5 linked regions of the Cricetulus griseus genome follow. The protein of the gene in region 1 purifies or fractionates together with the protein of each later gene. This does not show direct contact. Links are inferred from orthologs where the notes say so. Each region holds a gene or a part of one and is shown in the gene's direction. Other genes may lie near its edges.

Region 1 (4,178 bases):
CTCCTAATGCTACAAGAGACCCTGGGTCCCTAAATGCTTTTGGCAGTTCACTGGGTGGGTACACTACTCCCAGTCATTAGCCCTTCACTAGCTTCTCTCAATGGTGCACCCTCACTCTCAGTCTCGGCCTCTGACTCTACGTAATTGTGTAATTCTTATTCAAGTCCCTGTCCTCTGCAAGGGTCTTCTGCACTGGGAAGAAGAGAATCAAGGGCCCACACACCATAGCATTTAAACAGCCAGAAAGTCTGTCTAGCCACAATTAATTCAGTGTCTTGGTTTTTGTCTGTGCTGCCATTAGGCATGCTGTGTCTCACAGACAGGCAACAGTGTGTATCAAGGCCTCCTCCAGAAGTTTGACCTGGGCGCTGGTAGGCTGGGCACAGGGGGTGTGTGCCTGGCATGGTTGTTGTGCCTGCAGTAGAGTTTCTGAATAGGCTAAGGTCACAGACTGCAGTGCACTTCTGACCAACAAGCAGGGGGTAGCCTCCTCCAAGGAGCAACGGAACCCCTTTGAGACACCAGGAACCTTTGTCTTAAGTCTTGAGTCACTGTGTTAACCTCCCCTGTAATCACATTCCCATTGTGGAGTTTTGGTTGGAAAGGAGAGTTCAGAAAGGTCTACGTGGTTCTTGGCCCCAGATGGAGAATAGGGCAGGGCGGACCTTCAGGCGATTGGATCCGGATGAGAACTGTACTCACACACACAGGGAGTGGCGGGGGAAAGGGGGTCTGGCTGCCTTCATTCGAAAAAAATCATTTTTGCTTTCGGGACTCATAGTTTACGAGGTCCGCCTTCAAGTATACACCATCTTATCTATTTTATTTCCTGGACTGAAAGGCTACGTCGGCCCTCCCCAACTCATACGTGAATATGACGTTTTTCAATGACGCCTCTCCCTTATAGGCTTTTCTTCCCCAGTGGAATTCAAGTTCATAATCGCTTGTCTACATAAAAAGCATGTAATTAGTGCCTGCTGATCCCTGCTCGGGGAAACCGGCGTGTCTTTTGTGGATCTATGGTTCCGAGATAGCCAGAGAGCGAACTTGAGCATCCGAATGCCCTTTCGGCCTAGCCTCCTGAAGGGGGTGGTAGAGGTTCAATCTCAAGAGGCCCTAGTCAAATGGTTTTAGCTTCTGCGCTCCAGCTCCTGGCAGGATCGCACGGCCAAGAGCCGCGGGAGTCTCTTCTGATGCCCGGGCTAGAACTACCAACATTTTTCCGGCTTCCGCAGAGTAGCAGGCACAACAAATACACTGATCTTGCAAACTACCCGCCGAATCCCGGGAGACTGGCATGTCCCTTGCGCGACCCCGTAGTCACACCACGCCCTCTACTCATTCCCAGGAAGTGCGCCGTAGCAGCGGAAGTACACACCACCCGGGGGTTGTGGGAACCGCAGTTCCGGGATGGTGGGCGGCGGTGAAGGCGGTGGCCGGGTCGGGCTTCTAGAGAACGCCAACCCCCTCATCTATGAGCGCTCGGGGGAGCGGCCAGTGACGGCGGGCGAGGAGGACGAACAGGTGCCCGACAGCATCGACGCCCGCGAGATCTTCGATATCCACCACTGCTGGGAGCTGGCGGACGGTGGGGGTCTAGGGTACCGGGAAGAAGTGATGTGCAACACGGTGGTGGAGGGGTGTCCCGGTTAGGCATGCCTGCGGAGGTTTTGAGTGGGCCAAAACTTAGAGTTCCTTTTCCTTCACTTGGCACATCTTATTCGCTCCATTAATGACCCGGAGCATCCACTGACGCTAGAGGAATTAAATGTAGTAGAACAAGTTCGGATTCAGGTGAGTGTCAGAATGTGATAGCTTATCCAAAGTAGTTTAAAAGGTCCCATTATATGTTAAGAGGCTGGCGTTCTCCATTCACAAGCACCTAAGAGGATCTTTGGGCGGGAGGTTGTTTTTTCCAGTTTAGGTAACTTGCCCAAATTTTAGTAAAGAGAGGATTTCGGTGCTAGGGGCGGTCGTGTAATCTTTATAATCTCCTTGTCAACACAGGTTAGCGACCCTGAGAGCACGGTGGCCGTGGCTTTCACACCCACCATTCCACACTGCAGCATGGCCACACTTATAGGCCTTTCTATCAAAGTCAAGCTTCTTCGATCCCTTCCCCAGCGTTTCAAGGTCAGTTGGAGTCCAGCCTAAGGGTGAATGAAACAACTACTGAGGAGAGGGGACATCAGAGTGGAGACTGGAAGGATCCCAACTCGCAGAGACGAACTGCGAGGAAACGTCAAGCTGATTTGACAAGAATACTGGAAATACTCCAGAAAATAGTGAGGAATGTGGTAGAAAGGGCAGCTGTAGATGGGCTTGATGGAGGCACTGGCAGACCTTTAAATCAGTAGCAGCTGACAAGGCCCTTGGGTAGGTTGACTGCAGGTGGACTTGGGGTGGGACGGAAGTGCCAGAATCGAGAGGCACGATTAGAAAGATGGGTGGAATGGAGGTGGTTTCTGGAGGGAAGGGACCAAAAAAGGATGAATAAGTGCTCAGGCCCAGGTTGTCTTTCTTCCAGATGGATGTGCACATTACACCCGGGACCCATGCCTCGGAACATGCAGGTTAGTGTGAGCTGGCGGGGAAGTTGATCCCCCTCTCCCCTTGGGCCCCAAACTGTTGAGACTTCCCCTTTGCCACAATAGTTTATAAGGAAGGTTAGGACTAAGGGGGGTGGGTGTCTAGGTGACTAAAGAATTACCAGACTACAGCCTAGATCAAACTGGCCTGACCTAAGTCTCCTCCTTCCCATGAGTTTCTCTCCCATATTCCCCAAGGACATTGTATCAGGTTTCTGGAATAGTGGAGGCAGGCTAAGTACTCCCTGGAGGTATGTAGTATTCCTGAAAAATAAGAGAGTATGGGCACAGTTGATAAGGAGTCCTGGGAAGGTGATAGGAGACCTTTATTGGTAGAGATATAATCTGTCCTGAGGCTAGCAGCCTGGCTAAAGTTGCTTTAACCCTCTTTTTATAACCCTCTTTCCTACCTAGTGAACAAACAGCTTGCAGATAAGGAACGAGTGGCAGCTGCTCTGGAGAATACCCACCTGCTAGAGGTCGTTAATCAGTGTCTGTCAGCCCGATCATGAGCCTGGCTTTTGACCACCAGCCTGCACACAGGTGTCCTGGCCTCAGCTCCACCAAGGGCTTGTGGCTTTGTTTTCTTGAATCACTGACAAGGAGAAACTAACATTTTTCATTTTGTAATAAACCCTTAATTTATATTCATTTCCCAGCATGCCTTAGCATCTTCCATGATGGAGTCATTAGGGGTTGTGGAGGGGAGAGTGGTGCCTATGAAGGATGTGTCCATGAGGTGCCCCATCATTTTTTGATTTCTCCCAGTGGGACTGCAAAGATGGCTCAGCAGTTAAAAACACTGCTCTTGCAGAGGACCTGGGTTAGGTTCTCAGCACCTACATGGAGGCCCACAACCATCTGTAACTTCATTTCCAGAGGATCCAATGTCCTATTCTGACCTCTATAAGCACAAGGCACACATGTGGTACACATACCTACATTCAGACAAATACTCATACACATAAAATAAATCAGTAAGCTGAGTGTGGTGGTGCACCTTTTAGTCCCAGAACTCAGGAGACTGAGGCAAGCAGATAATCTGATTTTTGAGGCCAGCCTAGTCTACACAGAGAGTTTTAACTAAAGCTATATAGAGAGGCCCTGACTCAAAAAATGAAAATAAATCTTTTTTTTTTTTTTTAGCTCTTCTAGTGCTTCAGTTAGCAAAAGTTGCAAATGAAAAAAAAAAAAATCTTTAAAGAAATATATAAATACCTGGATAGCCAAACCACCAATGGATTCAGTAGTTTCAGTTGACCTGTTGTGACACTGGCCTTATTTGTGTGTGTTTACAGAACTATTTCTAGAGGAACCTACAGAGACATAAAGAACTATGTCCTAAATTGATATAAGTCTGCTGTCTTAGTTTCTTTTCTGTTGCTGGGTTTTTTGTGGGTTTTTTTTTTTGTTTGTTTGTTTTTTGTTTTTTCGAGACAGGGTTTCTCTGTGGCTTTGGAGGCTGCCCTGGAACTAGCTCTTGTAGACCAGGCTGGTCTCGAACTCACAGAGATCCTCCTGTCTCTGCCTCCTGAGTGCTGGGATTAAAGGCGTGCACCACCAATGCCCGGCTTTCTGTTGCTGTTTTAA
Region 2 (3,511 bases), on another chromosome or scaffold:
CAGGGCTGGTGCCCCTACTTCCTGGCTCGATACTCGGTGAAGAGTTGTTTTGTTTTCTTCTGGGGCAGGGTCTCACTTATAACCCAGGCTGGCCTCAAACTTAGAAGAACCTTACGCAGGTTCCCAGCTATGGGGGTTATAGGCATGAGCCACTTTTGCCCACCCCTCCGTTAGCCCATCTGTCTGCTTGCATCTTTGTTGACCTGGTACCTAGGTCTTCCTGTCTCCAGCCTCTGTTTATGCCTTGCCTGGGTGGTCCCATCTGTCTTTTCCATCCACCTGCTGTCTGTCTTGGTGTTACGTCTGTACACCTGGGAAGGAGTGGTATGGCGGGGGCAGCAGGGCCCAAGGCAAAAACTTATCCCTCCATGTTCCTAGATCCTGCATGCCAACGTGGTGGTTTACAGCTACCACTATCTCCTGGACCCCAAGATCGCAGACCTGGTGTCCAAAGAGCTGGCCCGCAAGGCCGTCGTGGTCTTCGATGAAGCCCACAACATTGGTGAGGAGGGTGCCAGGGTGTGCAGACAGCGGCGGCCTCTCTGCCCCGCCCCCAAGCCGGCTGAGCCCATGTCTGTCTGCTTTCCTCCTAGACAATGTCTGCATCGACTCCATGAGTGTAAACCTCACCCGCAGGACTCTGGACCGCTGCCAGAGCAACTTGGACACCTTGCAGAAGACGGTGCTCAGGTGCCCACTCTGCTCCCTGTGTGCCGCCTGCCTCCGTGGCCCTGGACACCTGCCCCATTCCAGCTCTGTCCCATGTCCCCGCCAGGATCAAGGAGACAGACGAGCAGCGGCTGCGGGACGAGTACCGGCGCCTGGTGGAGGGGCTGCGGGAGGCCAGCGCGGCGCGGGAGACAGACGCGCACCTGGCGAACCCTGTGCTGCCGGACGAGGTGCTGCAGGGTGAGCCGTGCCCCACCCCCCACCCTCACACGCCTTCCTTCCCGTGCCAGCTGACTCAGTCTCCCTGCAGAGGCCGTGCCAGGCTCCATCCGCACTGCCGAGCACTTCCTGGGCTTCCTGCGGCGGCTGCTGGAGTACGTCAAGTGGCGGCTGCGCGTGCAGCATGTGGTACAGGAGAGCCCTCCTGCCTTCCTGAGCGGCCTGGCTCAGCGCGTGTGCATCCAACGCAAGCCCCTCAGGTGCGCATGCTGCCATGGGGACCTCAGGTCCAGACCTGTGGCTGGTGACGGGGTCAGGGGTCAGGTCAGAGTCGGATGTGGAGCGAGCCGTGTCACTGTGAGGTCAGCTCTTGGCTGTGACCGCTGCAGGACTACCTGGTACTTCTGCAGCCCTATGCGTGTGCATATGCGAGCCTGGGAAAGTGTGTGGCTGTTCTTTCTGAGCGTGGGGCCCACGACACTGGCTGCACAGCACAGTGACTGATGGCCATGGGTCTTGTTTGACAAGAATTTGCATACAAGCGGCAAACCTGGGCGCCGTGTGCGTGTGCTAGTGCTGTGCGGTAGCTGTGGATGTTTGCAGTGTGGGGACAGCTTGGCCACAGACGATGCCCAGGTAAACAGGTGGCGAGAGTCCCAGCCATTGCTGCTTCCCTCCCTCTCCCGACCCCATGGCTTCTCAGGTTCTGTGCTGAGCGCCTGCGCTCCCTCCTGCACACCTTGGAGATTGCTGACCTGGCTGACTTCTCCCCGCTCACACTCCTTGCTAACTTCGCCACTCTCGTCAGCACTTACGCCAAGGGTAAGCTCCCCTCTTGCTCCTCCTGGCAGCGGACTTGGGGGCCTAGCTAAGTCGGGTGGGGTATTAGCAGGAAGTCTGGGCATGTGAGACAGGGGATTTGAGCTACTATGAGGGCCCTGGGGAACAAGCGAGTGAGCGAGCCTCGTGTTCAGATTCGTGTGTCTAGAGGCTCCTCCTGGCTGCAGGGGGAGAACTCGAGTGAGCTGTGATACTGAGCAGAGGGATGCTGTGCGGTCAGCCCACCTTTGGCTGGGGGAGAAGTCCTCATGTGTGCCTGAGGGCACCGGGAGCCATGGCAGGGTCTGGGCAAGGGATGTACTTGGTGAGGTTGTTGTTTTCAAGGTTCATCCAACAGAGAGGGGGAGCCATAGACTGTGGGGACAGGAAAAGGGAGCCTTGGGGAGAGCTATGGGAGAAAGCGGCCAGATGTAAAAGCCCTTGAGGGAGAGGGATGCAGGTGATGCACAGGGAGAGGGGACAAGCTACAGCTTTTGTTGCCCCCGCCCGCCCCAGCTTTGCACTGAGTTTTTAAGCTTATCCCTGGGGATTAGTACCGTAGCCAGGAAACCAGGTCAGCTGGCGTCCTGCAGCTGGCCCAGCCTTGGAAGAAGGGGCTGCTGGCAGCTGTCTGCTTCCTTCTGCCCTCACCCAGCCTCTTCTCCTGGCCTTCATTGTTCTCCCTCCGGCCCCCACCTACTGATGCATCCATCACAGTCTTACAGAAAGCCTCCTTCCCTGTGCCCCATCACCTGCCCGAGTCAAGTCCTTTACCTCTCAGAAAGTCACCCCCACTCCATTCCATCCTGGGCCTGCCCCTCCCTCTGTCCCAGCTGGGTCTCTGGCTAGCTGTCTCCCCCGTGCAAGGAGAGCCCTTTTGGGTAGGACCGAGATTCTGTTGGTTTCTGCTGGGTCCTCAGCATGATGCTGGACACAAGACCTGGTCTTTCCTTGCCAAGTGAAACAGAATCTGTGAATGTAATCATTTGTTCAGTCAACAGATGGGCCAGGCTGGGCCCCGTGGAGACAGCGGGATCTAACACAGCCAGGCTGGGCCCGGAGTCTAACACACACAGCCAGGCTGGGCCCAGCACAGCCTTAGTTGCCCCCCTCATCCTCCTGTCCATATCCCTACCCTCATCTGGGAGCCACAGCCTGGGGGCTAGGAGCAAAGATCACTCCAGAAGGGGACACTAGAAAGTGTGGCTGTGCTGTGAGGAGCAGGAGTCCTGGCTCCCAGGGTGCCTGTGGAACAAGGACCCAACCAACCAAGTGGGCCCTGGGACATGACGCTGATACCGTAGCTGGGAGCAAGGGCTGGCCCTGCAGAGTTCATGGGCACACTTCTGGGTATGGCAGGAGTGTGGAGACACCAGCCAACTTAAGGTTCCATAGCGTCTCCCCGACTGCAGTGTGGGGAGCAGGGGGGGACAGGTGGGAGTGAGGCCGGCCTGGGGGAGGGCGGGCCTGGCCTCCCTGCGGGGCCGTGCAGTGAAGCCCTGGCTCACCCTGCTTCCACACCTGAGCGTTTGTACAGTCCTGTCCTGCGCTAGCCATGGCAGGGGCAGGGGCAGGCGGGGGCTGTCGTGCACACTCACCGGCCTCCTCCTCCCCAGGCTTCACCATTATCATCGAGCCCTTTGATGACAGGACCCCGACCATTGCCAACCCCATCCTGCACTTCAGGTGAGATGCAAGCCTGTGTGGACAGGATGGCTTCGCCCCCGGCCTCTGCCCTGGGTGACGACTGTGTTATCCCACAGTTGTATGGACGCCTCCTTGGCCATCAAGCCTGTGTTTGAGC
Region 3 (3,511 bases), about 69 Mb from region 1:
CTCACCTGGGTGGTGATAATGAAGGAAAGCTGACAGGTTCTAGCCATTCAGGCCAGGAACCAGGAATATGAGGTAGCCCATCCCAACACTCACCTCATCTATGAACTGCTGGAACATGTGAAGGGGTCAGACCTTCAGATTCAAATCTAGTGGGTCTCCATGACACAATTCAACTGAGAACAATTTTCAGACATCAGTTTCACTCCTACTATGGGAGTCCTGGAGATCAAACTTGGGTCATTAGGCTTTCTGTTTGTACTGTCTTCATATGTGTTTCATTATTTCTGCTCCGATCTTTCTACCAGTTTTATGCAAGGCCTTGGGGTACCATTTATTTATTTTTTTTTAATTCTCCATCTGGCATGTCTTTCTTCTATTTCACTTTCCTTGCATCTTGTTCTTATTTGGAGAGGCCATGTTTACTTGTGTTTCTCCATTCACATTTGTTCATCCTATAGATCAGGTGACTCTTACTTGGCCAGGGCAGCTTCTCAGTAAGCGACTTTCTCCTGAAGATATGTCCTGGGGTGTTGGTTTGTTACAAAGCTTTTGATCCTCAGAGAGCACTGTAACTTGGTATGGTCCTTCTATAGTTTGACCATGGTCAGGGAGTTTGAACATAGAGCAGGCCAGAGGAGCAAAAGTGAGGACACTGCCATTTCAGTCTTGTTGAAACCAACATTCTGAGAAAACCCCAACCATGTTCATTAGACTGAGAACCACCTTTTCCTTCCCATGGTTTCATATAAAATAGAACCCATCATCCCCAGTACACATAACTCTGAACATAATTACCAAAGGCACAGTTATGAATGGGAATGAAAGTAAGTTGAGTCACATGACACATGGAGGCAACATTACTTGATAGACATATGCCGAAGTTACCAAAAGTACTGAACATATCAATAGACTTCCAGGTTTGATAGCAGTCTCATACAAATAACTTCTAATGATTATTTAAAAACTACAAATCCATTGTGAGTACCATTCTTGAGAGCTCCTTCAGTCAATTGAAGTGGAAGCTTGTACCAAACACCACAAGAGCCAGCCTCAAAGAAGAGCTGTCTCCTGGAGGGTGTGGCTCCCTGATAAAGACTCCCCTTGCATAGAGACCAGCAAGGCAGTATGGGCCCAAACAAAGACTGTAGTTGGAGTTGAGAAAGTCATCATGCTAGCAACAACCTTAAAATCCCCATCAGTCTCCTACAGTGAAACCAAGGGTTCTTCCACATGAATCAGGTATAAATACAAGGTTGGAAATTGGGTCATAAACATTGCCTTCCTTTCTATATTTCTTCTCTATTTTAAATTGTGTGTATATCTATGTGGGGTTTGTGCACTTGAGTGCAGTAATCTCTGAGTTCAGAAGGGAACATGAGATCTCCTGGTTCTGGAGTTACAGGTGGTTGTGAGCTGCCCAGTGTGGGTACTGAGGACTGAACCCTGGGTTCTCTACAAGAGCAGCAAGCACTCTTAGCCGATGAGCCATCTCTCCAGATTCCATATTTCTGTGCCTATACTCAGTTCATTTCCTCTATTTTGTTAAATGTCATTCAATTCTTTCTGCCCTTCAGCCCTTGTCTTCAGGTCTTAGTATTGCCCAATGTGCCTCTACTTCTCTCCACTCTCAGGCACCAGCCAGTGTTTGCAGTGGAGAGGAGCACTTCCACACAGTAGACAAGAGTGGCTCAGGACTGTCAAAGTGCTCAGAAGGGAGGCACAAGAGAATCCAATGGTTGCTCAAGGACAACTGTGCTTACAACGACACATGTTGCACCCCTCTGCCATGTTGTGCCCCTTCTCCAGCCTCTGTGATTCTCTTATCTACATGTCCCAGCAAGGGTGTCCATGCTATATGGTGACATTGTTTTCAAAGGTGGTTGCTAATGTGAAAAATCTCATACAATAGAGACAATGTGTGCTGGGAAATATTAAAACCCATGAGAGTAGCAATGTTCCTTCCTCCACTTTCCCCATGTCAGACTAGAAGCCTTACTGAATGGAGAACAGTCATGTTGACTCACACCTTGTACTCCGCTCACACTGAGTTGTCCCAGCCTTTCTGTGTCTGGCACACCAAAGTAAATGGAGAGAACTCTATGGATCGGGCCACTCAGGTCACCCTGACCTTTATAGGCCTACCTGGAGATGGGTTCAGCCTTCCTCCAATGGCAGAACACCTTGGAATGTCTGCCCTCAAGGGTGTGTTTGATGAACAAAATGCCTTCTATGTAGTCTGAAAAAACAAGACTGTTTTACTCCTCAGAGAAAGAAGCCAACTTTTCCATACCAGGCTTGGGGCTACCTGGACCCTGCAGGGCATCCAAATGTGGCTGGGTTGAAAGAATAAGGATCACTGCAGGAATTTTTTTCTGAAAATTACTTTTCTTACCTGTTTCTCTCTTTATAGGAATTCAGAAATAGGTTTGGAAATCATCTGACTTCACCTTCAGACACCTGTGCTGCAACTCTGCGTGACTCGGCATACTCCAGAATTGTGCTGCAGATGTCCCAACATGACTGTGCATTGTGGGTAGCTGCAGGCCTGGCTCTCACTGCTCTTCTTTTTGCATTTCTGGCCAGAGTCTATGCTTACAATGTAACTAAATGAAGCATCCATAAGGAGTAATTTTCTAATTAAAACCTTTGGGGAAGCAACTACACCAGTTCTCAAGAGGCAGTCATCTGAACTGGTCATGCTGCCTTGTCTGGATCCCTTCTTAATGAGGCTCACCCTGTCTCACATTGAGCTGAGCCATTTGACCTCAAATCACAGCTTCTGGAACATGTCTTTTTCATCATCAAACTCCTTTTGACTTTTTAGCAACATATGCAAGTGGTTGAATTTTTTATTTTCTTTTAATCTCCCAACCTAAGTGCACAGTGGTCATCAGTGGCTCTGGCTGTCAGTTACCCTGGTCTCCAGTGGCCCTGGCCACCAGTGGCCCTGGCTGTCAGTGGCTCTGGCCACCCCTTCCTGGTGTGGAAGAACATCCAGCCCTTAATACACATTCTTCAGGCTGTGTTTGGAGTCCCCGTGCTACAAACATCTTTTTCACAGCACATGTGTTCCTGAAAAGTTTATATAGAAACCTATTTTGGGAACTTGGACCCAAGTCTGCCACTTAAAGGACTCTTCCTAGCATTTTAGAAAATGTGAGGAATCCATGCCTGTAGCACCCACAAACTTTCAAACAAACCACTCTTTTCCTGCCCTCTGACTGGACATCATCAGCCTCTTCTACTGAAATGACTTCTTTCACAATAAAAGGAGTTGGTGCAATAAGCAAACCCTGTGTTTACCGTAATTTAAATGATTTATTTGGATTGAGTAGGCAGAGGGGAACAAAATCAGTGCCTTTAGATACCATGGGATTATTTTCATCTCTAGACCCATCCTCTCTGTTAGTTCTTTCTTACATGTGTCCCCTAAAAAGCCCATCCCAAAATTTAATGTCATCAGTTAGCCAAAAAAAGTACATATGCAAACACACATATGAGATCTCATTAC
Region 4 (4,271 bases), on another chromosome or scaffold:
GGCCTCAGGAAGGCAGGGGACAGACAGAACATGAAGGCACACGTGGCAGATCAATAGTCCGGGACTTAAATAGCCGTTAGGACGGTCCCTGGCATCTCCAGAGGGGAGCTGCTGATGGGCTTTCTGGAATGAAGCAGGGTTTAGGGAGAGAGAGATGGGGGAGGGGGATTAAGGAGGAGCTTCCAGCAGAACAACAGTCTTAATTTCCTAACGCTGTTTACAGACATTGTTATGAGCCTGGTACTCCTATAAGCACTTCAAATATATAAATTTAGCTCTTAAAATCTTATAAAGATACTCCCTCCCGCCCCCCGTTTTACAGAAGATAATATACTTAGGTCGGGCACAGAAGTCCTGTAGCTTTCCTAGGTTAAATACAACTAGGGTTTTGTGAAACAACCTAATTTTCATCTCCGGAGTCTTGTTTTCCTGCTCATCTTGCATGTTAATATCAAATGGTAAGATTAGAACTACACAGATTCGCTCTAGAGTTCTTTCTTATCTCCTTCTACCCCATTTTTGAACATTTGATTCCTTTTACCTGTTGTCATGAATTTGTGGTAGGGGGTAGGAAGGTGAATATCGCATATCTTCTGTTTACTGTCCAGAAGTTTGTGGCAATTAGCACATCATTCACAGGTTCTCAGCCTTGCCCTTGTTTCCTCTATTTCTCTATCAGTCCTAAAGCCACAGATGAGAGCTGCTTCCATTAAGTCGGAAAAGCATACTGGAGGGCTTAGATGAGGAAAGGTGAAGTGTAGGGGCGAGACCTACTGGCCTTTCTCTGGGCAGTGACCTCGTTTAAGGCCCTTTCTTCTTGTCTGAGCGCCTTCGGTTTAAAATGGCGGGATTTGTGCTAAGGCTGTTTGCCTATTAGACCGCCATGATGGCTCGCCCTTCCCCCACCAGGCTCATCTGGCCGCTCTGGGGTTGCTGTTCCCGTACTGGGTGTCTGTCCTCCTTCTGGCATCTCCAGTTCCCCATGGCCAACCTCCCACCCTCACACCAACGCTCCACGCAGGGGCGAGACAAGGGGCTGCCATGTCTCCTGACCTCAGCCACAGCGCGGAGGCCCGGCTAGCGAGGCCCAGAGCCGGCAGCCCCGGCCTAGCAAACCCCGAGGCAGCGAGGGCGGCTGGGCGCTCGGAGCGCTCACAGTCACCCCGATCGTAGAGCTTAGGCTCGACCCGACCACGCAGGTCAACTGCCCCGCCTCAAGTCACGGAGGAGCACCCTTGAAGACCCCCGCCCTCAGACACTGCGCTTTTAGGAGAAGACACGGTCAGGTCTCTGCACAGCAGAGGGGGGGAACGTGCACGCAGACGGGAGGTGGAATCCGTACGCCTCGGCGCGCGCTGGTCACGTGGGCTGCGGCATCGCATGGCGGCGGCCCGCGCGCTCCCGCGGAGCGGCCGCGGAGCGGCCCGGGCGCGCGCGCCGACGGGGCGGGCGCATGCGCAGGGGGGCGCGCCGCCTCTGCCCCGCGGCGAGGGTGTCTATGGAGAGGCGGCGGCTGCGGCTGCTGAGGCGGACGCTGAAGCTGTGGCGATGGCTCCCTTCCCCGATGAAGTGGACGTCTTCACCGCCCCACACTGGCGGATGAAGCAGCTGGTGGGGCGCTACTGCGACAAGGTAACGGAGCGCGGGGCGGAGGGCGGCGCGGAGGAGCGGGCGGGTTCCGGGCGGCCTGGCCTGCGCGCCTCCCGCCGCCCCCGGGTTGGGGCCGTACGATCAGCCGCCTGCGCCCCGTCAGCCGCGCGCCTCCCGCACCTTCCCGCCCGGTCCCTGGGAAGCCCGCGCCGGCCGCGGCCTGGGACGTGCCTTCGGGGCGCGCGGCGCCTGCCCAGCGTCCTGCTCGCGGGTCTGGCCTGTGCGGGGGTGAGGGGCGCTCCCGGAGCCGCAGCCGCTGTCCCTTCAGGGTTGGAGAGACCCGGGTCGGTCGCCCGCGGGAGCTCCCGGTCCGCGTCCGCAGGCCGCTTCTGCGGTTGCTCGCCACCGCGGGACTGCCCGCCCGGCCCCTTCGGGCTCTTTGAGTCGCTTTGCAAACATTGCGTCCCCCGCCTGGACCTGTGACTTGCTTCCCGGCTCCATGGGCAGCGTCTTGAAGCCACCGGAGCGGGTTTATTTTCCCTGCCAGTGTCGCACTGGTTTGGTTCCGCACGCAGGGGCCGGGGAAGACCTGCACGCTACATTTCTGTTTACCTTTTTTCCTTCCAGCTTTTATTTTTCCCGAATATTTAGTCCTTGTTGATTTTGGTTTAAGACAGCTAGCTGTTCCTCTGTTGGCCTTAGGGAAAGTTGGTTTGCTGTGAAACTCGTTTTGGACTTTTAATTGATGTCGCCTAAATTGAATTACTTTTATGGAAATGAGTTGAAGGTCTTTTTCTAATGTTTCTTAAAATTCCCATTTGTCAGTTTATGTTTGGAAGGTCAAATATGTGTAAACTCTGGGCACGTCCTGTGTTTGGTAAGAATGAACCAAATAAATAGCTGTTAAGTAATTATTACTTAAACACAGACATAAGTTGAATTTTCAGAAATTACACAGAATTAGCACCATATTAACAGCAAGTAAGAGTTGGCCTACAACCCAGAGAACCCAGTGTCTTCATTGGTAGGTCACAGGAAGACCGGCAATTTGAAGTTTCAGATCTTAGCATTACTGTCCGACAACCCTTTCTCTATCTCCATTTTGGGAAAAGAAAAAACAAAACAACAAACAAACCCAGTCCGAGTCAGGTGTACCTTTAAACACACTGTTTAGATCATGGTTCTCCACTTCGTTGCTCTTTAAAATCCGACCCCATTCATATTGGATGTCTGAGCATGGAACCCAGATATCAAGTGTAATTTTGAGCTCTCAGGTGAGAGTGGGGTACAACGAGGGTGATTATCTCTTTTATCTAGGAGAAACTTAACGACTGGTTAACCCTTGAGCAGAAGAGTATAATCTTGCATTTTTCAGTTAGTGGTTTTGTTTTTATAATCTCCACTTTTTGGATTTTTTTTTCTCACACTATGCTTTAATTTCAGGCAAGGAAAAACTTTTCCCCCACTTTTCTTAAAAAGCAAAAGGGGAATTTAATGAGGACTGATTAAATCCAAGGCTTTACTCTGATTTTGTCGAGAGGGAGTCGAGAGACTCTCTGGTGATAATGGGAAATGTTGTCAGTTTGTACACTTCCATATGAGCTTTCTGGTATTTAAGATGTTTCAGGTTGCCAAAGGATTATGACCAATCCAGATTATCAAAATTTATAATGTACTACTCAGTCTCTTTAAAAACAATATTCTTTTGTTTTCCTACTTTTTTTGACACAGTTTTCTCCCCTAGTCCAGGCTGGCCTTGAGAATTCACTACATTGCACAGACTGGCCTTGAACTTCTGAGCTTCCTGCTTCCACCTTCCAGGTTCAAGAATTACAGGCATTTGTCACCCCACTGGGCACAGCCATTATTTTTGTGTCTCTTTTTGGTGTTTGAGAACATTTGAGCAAATTTTGGAAATGCAGTTGACTTAAATAAAATGAGTCAAATAAGATTCTTCTCAGTAGTTAAATGTTCCCTCTTGCATAGCCAGTTTAATAAAGCATGTTTAATTTGGTATAGTTTTATTTCAAATTGACTCTGATTTGTTCCCAGCATTGTATAGAAGTCATTAATTCTGAATTAATTGCATGTAGTTAATGAGATTATTGCTTATATTCCTCAAGAATACTAAAAGTTTCAGTTTTCTTAACTATGACCAAAGCAATTTAATGACGAAAAAAGAACTGCACAGTAATTTCCATCATTTTTTCTAGTTACCAATGACCAGTGGAAGGTTCTCTGGGTGTCCTTTGTGAGCAGAAGTGGGAAAATAACTTTTTTGATGGCAGACTAGCCTTAAAGAACTAAGAGTTGTTTTGGTTAGTTTGTCATTTCCAGGTTTGCCATTGTCATCTTTCTTTTAGTTGTATAGATCAAGGTTATCTGATCCAAATAACCTGCAGTAAAACTGCAAAATGAGAACTAGTTTTTGGTTAAAGCTAAAAACTACAAAGTATGTTATTTCACTGTATTCTTGATATTGACTGAGAATGTCCAGAAACCATAAAGATTTCAATTTTATTCCCAGTATTGAACTTGTAAAACACAGTATATTCACAAAATGATTTCTTTAGGATCATCAAATCAGTTTTTCTGTGCTTTGAGTAATTTACTTAGAGCGAATTATTAAGTTGTTACAGATTATGTTAAATATTTCTGTATAATAGTTTAATGTGTTGCCT
Region 5 (4,182 bases), about 160 Mb from region 1:
AGGAGGCTCTAAAAAGCCCCGCGGAGGGGTGGGGAGGAATAAAGATTTCGATCCCATGGCCCTGCACTGCTTTTGCAAGTCGGATTCTCGCAGACACGATCTGCAGCCTGATAATAACACTGTGACTCTCTGGAAGGAGCGACTCCGACTTCGGGGGACGCAGGCTGCCCACGCCGCGCCCCGGCCGGCCGCTGTCCGACCCCGGCCGGGGCTGCCAGACCAGCGGCGCACTCGTCCGGCCCCCTCCGCCGGCCTCGTCGCGGTCTGGAAACATTTCCTGCTCCCGCCCCCACCCCCAGCTTCCCGGTGGGAGCGAGTTGGCCTCGCAGCCGGGTCAGCGCTCGCAGTTACCCCAACTCGCTTCCCAGCCAACCCTCGCCGGGGAGGGCCCCGTCTGGCTCCGAAAAACCAAGGGGGAACCTAGGCGCTGTGCGAGGTCGCTCGAGAACCCCAGCGTTCGGGCAAGGCAGGGGCCAACTGGCGGCGCGCCGGGACCCCGCTGCCTTTCCTGGCGTTACCTGCTCGCTTGCGGGGGTGTCCCGGAGCAGCCGGCCTCTCCCGGCGCTGTCTCCCCACGCAGTTGCCCATGCTGGCTTCTCAGCCGGTCCCCATGCACCGGAGACGGCGGGCCGGCCGGCTGCTCCACGCTGCTGCCCGGAACCGCGGCGTCCCCGGGTCAACGGCTCTCGCAGCCCGACATCGGGAGATCCTGGATCTCCCCTGGGGTGCGCTCTGCCCGACGTCGGCTTCGCCACAAACTTTGCGGGCCAGGGGAGAGGGAGGTGGCCAGGCCAGGGGGGCCCGCGACAGTGCCCGGCCAGAGACCAGCCGGCTGGAGGGGCGGAGGGAGGGGGCGGACACCGCCGCAGCTACTCCTGGATCGCTCGCGGCTCCCAGCTGGGGCCGGCCCCCCGGAGCCTGTCAGTCACCTGCCTAACCCCGCCCCAGCCCGGCCCCGTTCCCTTCCTCCCGTTCGGGGTGCCCGTGCCACCGCCGCCAGCCGTCCCAGGTGCGCATGTGACCGACGGCACCGCCCCTCGGGCCGGGCCTGGTTTTCTCATTGGCTTCCCCCTGGGTGCGTACCGCCCCTCGGCCCCACCCAGCCAGGTGCCCGCCCTGCCGTCCGTCTCCCGGGGAGAGAGAGACCGGGAATTATGCGCCCCTCAACCGCCCCGGCTGCGTGCCAGGGGGCCGCTTCCCCTCCTCGTGCCGCGCCCCGGCCCCGGCCCCGCCCTCTGGGGGAGGGGCCGTCAGGTCCCTCCAGGAACCGCCAGGCCCAGAGCCGGCAGGCACGTGACCCCGGAGCGTCCCGCCCCCGAGGCCTGCGCCCCACTATTGGCTGCGGAGGCGCGTGCGCAGAGAGGCTCCTCTCCGGGCACCACCTACCTCCCCTCCCACAGTCTCCGGCTCGCGTCATGGCTGCCGCCACCGCTCTCGAGGAGGCGGCGGCGCCTCTGGACGCCCTGTGCGGCCTCGTGCAAGACTTCGTCATGGGCCAGCAGGAGGGGCCCGCTGACCAGGTGGCTGCAGGTAGGGCAAGCAGAGCCGTGAGGTTTCTGCAAGGGCCGGACCTAAGGGAGCGGCCTCAGCCCCGGCGCGCGGCGGGAAGGGAGTGAAGGGAGAGGAGGTTGATTGTGATTGGTCCTTTGCTCGCTCGGCCCGCACGGCGAGCGCTGCCGCCCTAACAAGTTGGAGAGTCGCTTGCACCTTCCTTAAACCTCCCTTTACATCCCGCCTCTCACTGTAGTCGGTAGAGAATCGTTGCATTTCTCCGGCCACCCCCAGGCCCAGCGAGAGCAGGAGACTGTGTAAGGGCGCGGACCAGCCCGGAAGTGGAGCTGGGACTTGGACTCGCGTGTTCTGCTCCAAACCAGGTGCTCGCACTCGGGGGCCGCGTTTGTGGAGTGTTAACGCGTGGAGGTGCGGCTTCGAAGGGTTACGCCCCGGTCTCTTGCCATCCCGGAGGTAGCATGCGCCACAGCTCTCTTGAGCGTGGTTAATTAGAGGGAGGAGGGGAGGAGCTAGTCTGGGTCCCGGTCGATAGGCTTGTAGGTGACTAGTGTTGCTATTCAGGCTTCACTTACTGACTTAGTGGGGTTTTTGACAAGTTAGCTTCACGGTTTCTTAAAATAGCCCATTTGTTATCTTCCCAGAGTTCCAGTTTCTGGAATCTCTCAGTTCTGAGTTTATCCAGGATTTGAGTAAATTAAATTCCAGGAGACCTCCTTGGAATTCTTTCCAAATGTTGAATGTTAGGATGCCTAACATTCAGAGTCAGGTTTAAGAAATAAAATACAAAATGGGTATAGATGCGGGTTTTCTTAAATTATTTTGGGGTGTTTTATATGTTTGGGAGCAGAAGTTTCTTCTGCAGATTGAACATAATATACGAGAAATGAACTTCTGCTAGAAATATATGCTGGTCCTTAGCAATATTCCCCTTTCGTTCTGCGATTCTATTATTACTGAGCACGTATTTTTCACCCAGCATGAAAAGATTGGGAACAAAAATACAAATTAAATGCTGTGGGCACAAAGAGATTATAATGTAGTGAGAGACAGACAGTTGTGTGGTTAGAAGCAAGTACATGGTGGTTCGTAAGTATTAAGGGGCAAAAATGTCTGCGATTGGCTGTACTTGGTGGTTTATGCCTTTAGTTTCAGGATTTGGCAAGAGGATGGCAAGTTTGATAGTGAGTTCTAGGCCAGCCTCCACTACAGTGTGAGATCATATCAAAAAAAAAAAAAAAAGCCTGCTTATAATATTTTACAACTTTATCAAGTATAGTCTGTTATGGGGTATTATTAATGCCATTTCCCTCAGTATTTTACTATGGAAATTTTCTATCGTTTAACAAAATCTAAAGAATTTTTATTTATTATTGTTGTTTGTTTGTTTGTTTGACATGAAGTTTCTTTGTGCTGTCCTGGAACTCACTGTGTAGACCAGGCTGGCCTTGAACTCAGAGATCCAGATGCCCCTGCCATCCTGAGTACTGGGATTAAAGACATGCAACACCATTGCCCAGCTTAAAGAATTTTATAGGGATTACACATCCAACACTACTTAGAGCCGATCATTAACATTTTTTTTTCTGTACTTTGAATTATCACATACCCATTTAAACTGCAGAGGTCAGTACATTTATCTCTAAGTACTTCGGCATTCTATCATTGACTAATGTTTGTTTATGGTTTATTTGGAGGTAAAACATATCCAATGAATTATATTGGGAACATTGTTTTTCACAGAGGTACTTAATACCACCTCATTCCAAGATAGACAATATTACTATGTTAATGTTAACCTGTAACTGTTTTTCCGCATTTGTACATTTTTATATCTTTGTAAAATGTATTTTTTGTTTTTATGTCTTTTTTTAAAAGCCTAAACTTTCATATGGTTTAAAATGAACTCTGTAGCATGTGTGTAAGTGAACCCTGTTGTAAAGTACTCATCTTAACATACAGAAGGTTGGTGCAGAGGCACAGTAACGGACAAGGCTGAAAGGTTTGATGGAGCTGAAATATATATATATCTCAGAACCTTGGATCTGAATGACCTGGTGTGTGGGCAATAGGAGTTTAGCTCTTTGAGCAAGAGCCTTAAAATGAAAGGAAATTTAGGAAGGGTTAATTTAGTATTCCCAGTCTCAGATCATAGTTGTTAGGTTATGGAAGTTGACAGTTTTGGACTATTCCCAGAGTATGATGTACTTCCTCCAGCCTAAGTCAGTCTGTGTTCCTACTGAACACATCAGCCTTGGAAGCCACAGCTCTTCTACAAGTTACAAATGAAGAAGGAATGACCTGTGAACACAAAGGAACTGCAACTTTGTTTTGCACCTGGTAGTTTCTGATGGAAATAGTTGTCAGCTCCCATGAACATCCAAGTACTAGAAAGGAAATGACTTGGGAACCCAGGAATTAAGGCCTCTCAAACAGGCATTCAAAGATAGCCAGTACTTGGTCCCAGCCTTTATTCTCAACATTGACCTCTTGGACCCTTAGTTCTGGGCACCAGCCTTCATTTTCCATTTCCTGAGTGTTTTCCTTCCAGTTCCCTCTACTAGCTATATCTAATCCAAATTAGACCTTATACTCAAGGCCCAGTTCAAGTACTGGTCTTCCGGTATTTCCTTATTACCCTGGCCAGACAACATGTCACTTCGTATCTTGATA

The links.
Region 2: the proteins of Ciao2b (region 1) and Ercc2 purify together in Homo sapiens (affinity purification with western blotting; 3 studies listed by BioGRID and IntAct, with this or other methods). This does not show direct contact. The link is inferred for Cricetulus griseus from reciprocal best matches to the Homo sapiens genes CIAO2B and ERCC2.
Region 3: the proteins of Ciao2b (region 1) and Cdkal1 purify together in Homo sapiens (affinity purification with mass spectrometry; 3 studies listed by BioGRID and IntAct, with this or other methods). This does not show direct contact. The link is inferred for Cricetulus griseus from reciprocal best matches to the Homo sapiens genes CIAO2B and CDKAL1.
Region 4: the proteins of Ciao2b (region 1) and Fbxl5 purify together in Homo sapiens (affinity purification with mass spectrometry; 3 studies listed by BioGRID and IntAct, counting the BioPlex papers as one, with this or other methods). This does not show direct contact. The link is inferred for Cricetulus griseus from reciprocal best matches to the Homo sapiens genes CIAO2B and FBXL5.
Region 5: the proteins of Ciao2b (region 1) and Mms19 purify together in Homo sapiens (affinity purification with western blotting; 11 studies listed by BioGRID and IntAct, counting the BioPlex papers as one, with this or other methods). This does not show direct contact. The link is inferred for Cricetulus griseus from reciprocal best matches to the Homo sapiens genes CIAO2B and MMS19.

The regions. Positions count from the first base shown.
Region 1 is NC_048596.1:180,906,692-180,910,869, reverse strand, and holds Ciao2b (cytosolic iron-sulfur assembly component 2B), read left to right. Parts: upstream 1-1,371; 5' UTR 1,372-1,410; coding exon 1,411-1,558; intron 1,559-1,714; coding exon 1,715-1,794; intron 1,795-2,007; coding exon 2,008-2,133; intron 2,134-2,527; coding exon 2,528-2,573; intron 2,574-3,002; coding exon 3,003-3,100; 3' UTR 3,101-3,938; downstream 3,939-4,178.
Region 2 is NC_048602.1:27,967,164-27,970,674, reverse strand, and holds part of Ercc2 (general transcription and DNA repair factor IIH helicase subunit XPD), read left to right. Parts: coding exon 1-36; intron 37-378; coding exon 379-502; intron 503-593; coding exon 594-690; intron 691-775; coding exon 776-909; intron 910-979; coding exon 980-1,148; intron 1,149-1,591; coding exon 1,592-1,710; intron 1,711-3,323; coding exon 3,324-3,393; intron 3,394-3,470; coding exon 3,471-3,511. UniProt on the Homo sapiens protein: ATP-dependent 5'-3' DNA helicase. Component of the general transcription and DNA repair factor IIH (TFIIH) core complex, not absolutely essential for minimal transcription in vitro.
Region 3 is NC_048596.1:250,007,862-250,011,372, reverse strand, and holds the end of Cdkal1 (threonylcarbamoyladenosine tRNA methylthiotransferase), read left to right. Parts: intron 1-2,410; coding exon 2,411-2,611; 3' UTR 2,612-3,291; downstream 3,292-3,511. UniProt on the Homo sapiens protein: Catalyzes the methylthiolation of N6-threonylcarbamoyladenosine (t(6)A), leading to the formation of 2-methylthio-N6-threonylcarbamoyladenosine (ms(2)t(6)A) at position 37 in tRNAs that read codons beginning with adenine.
Region 4 is NW_023276807.1:112,389,077-112,393,347, reverse strand, and holds the start of Fbxl5 (F-box/LRR-repeat protein 5), read left to right. Parts: upstream 1-1,460; 5' UTR 1,461-1,548; coding exon 1,549-1,632; intron 1,633-4,271.
Region 5 is NC_048596.1:19,568,846-19,573,027, forward strand, and holds the start of Mms19 (MMS19 nucleotide excision repair protein homolog), read left to right. Parts: upstream 1-1,372; 5' UTR 1,373-1,415; coding exon 1,416-1,530; intron 1,531-1,747; exon of another isoform or gene 1,748-1,874; intron 1,875-4,182. Other genes in the region: Ubtd1 (ubiquitin domain-containing protein 1), read right to left, coding at 519-588. UniProt on the Homo sapiens protein: Key component of the cytosolic iron-sulfur protein assembly (CIA) complex, a multiprotein complex that mediates the incorporation of iron-sulfur cluster into apoproteins specifically involved in DNA metabolism and genomic integrity.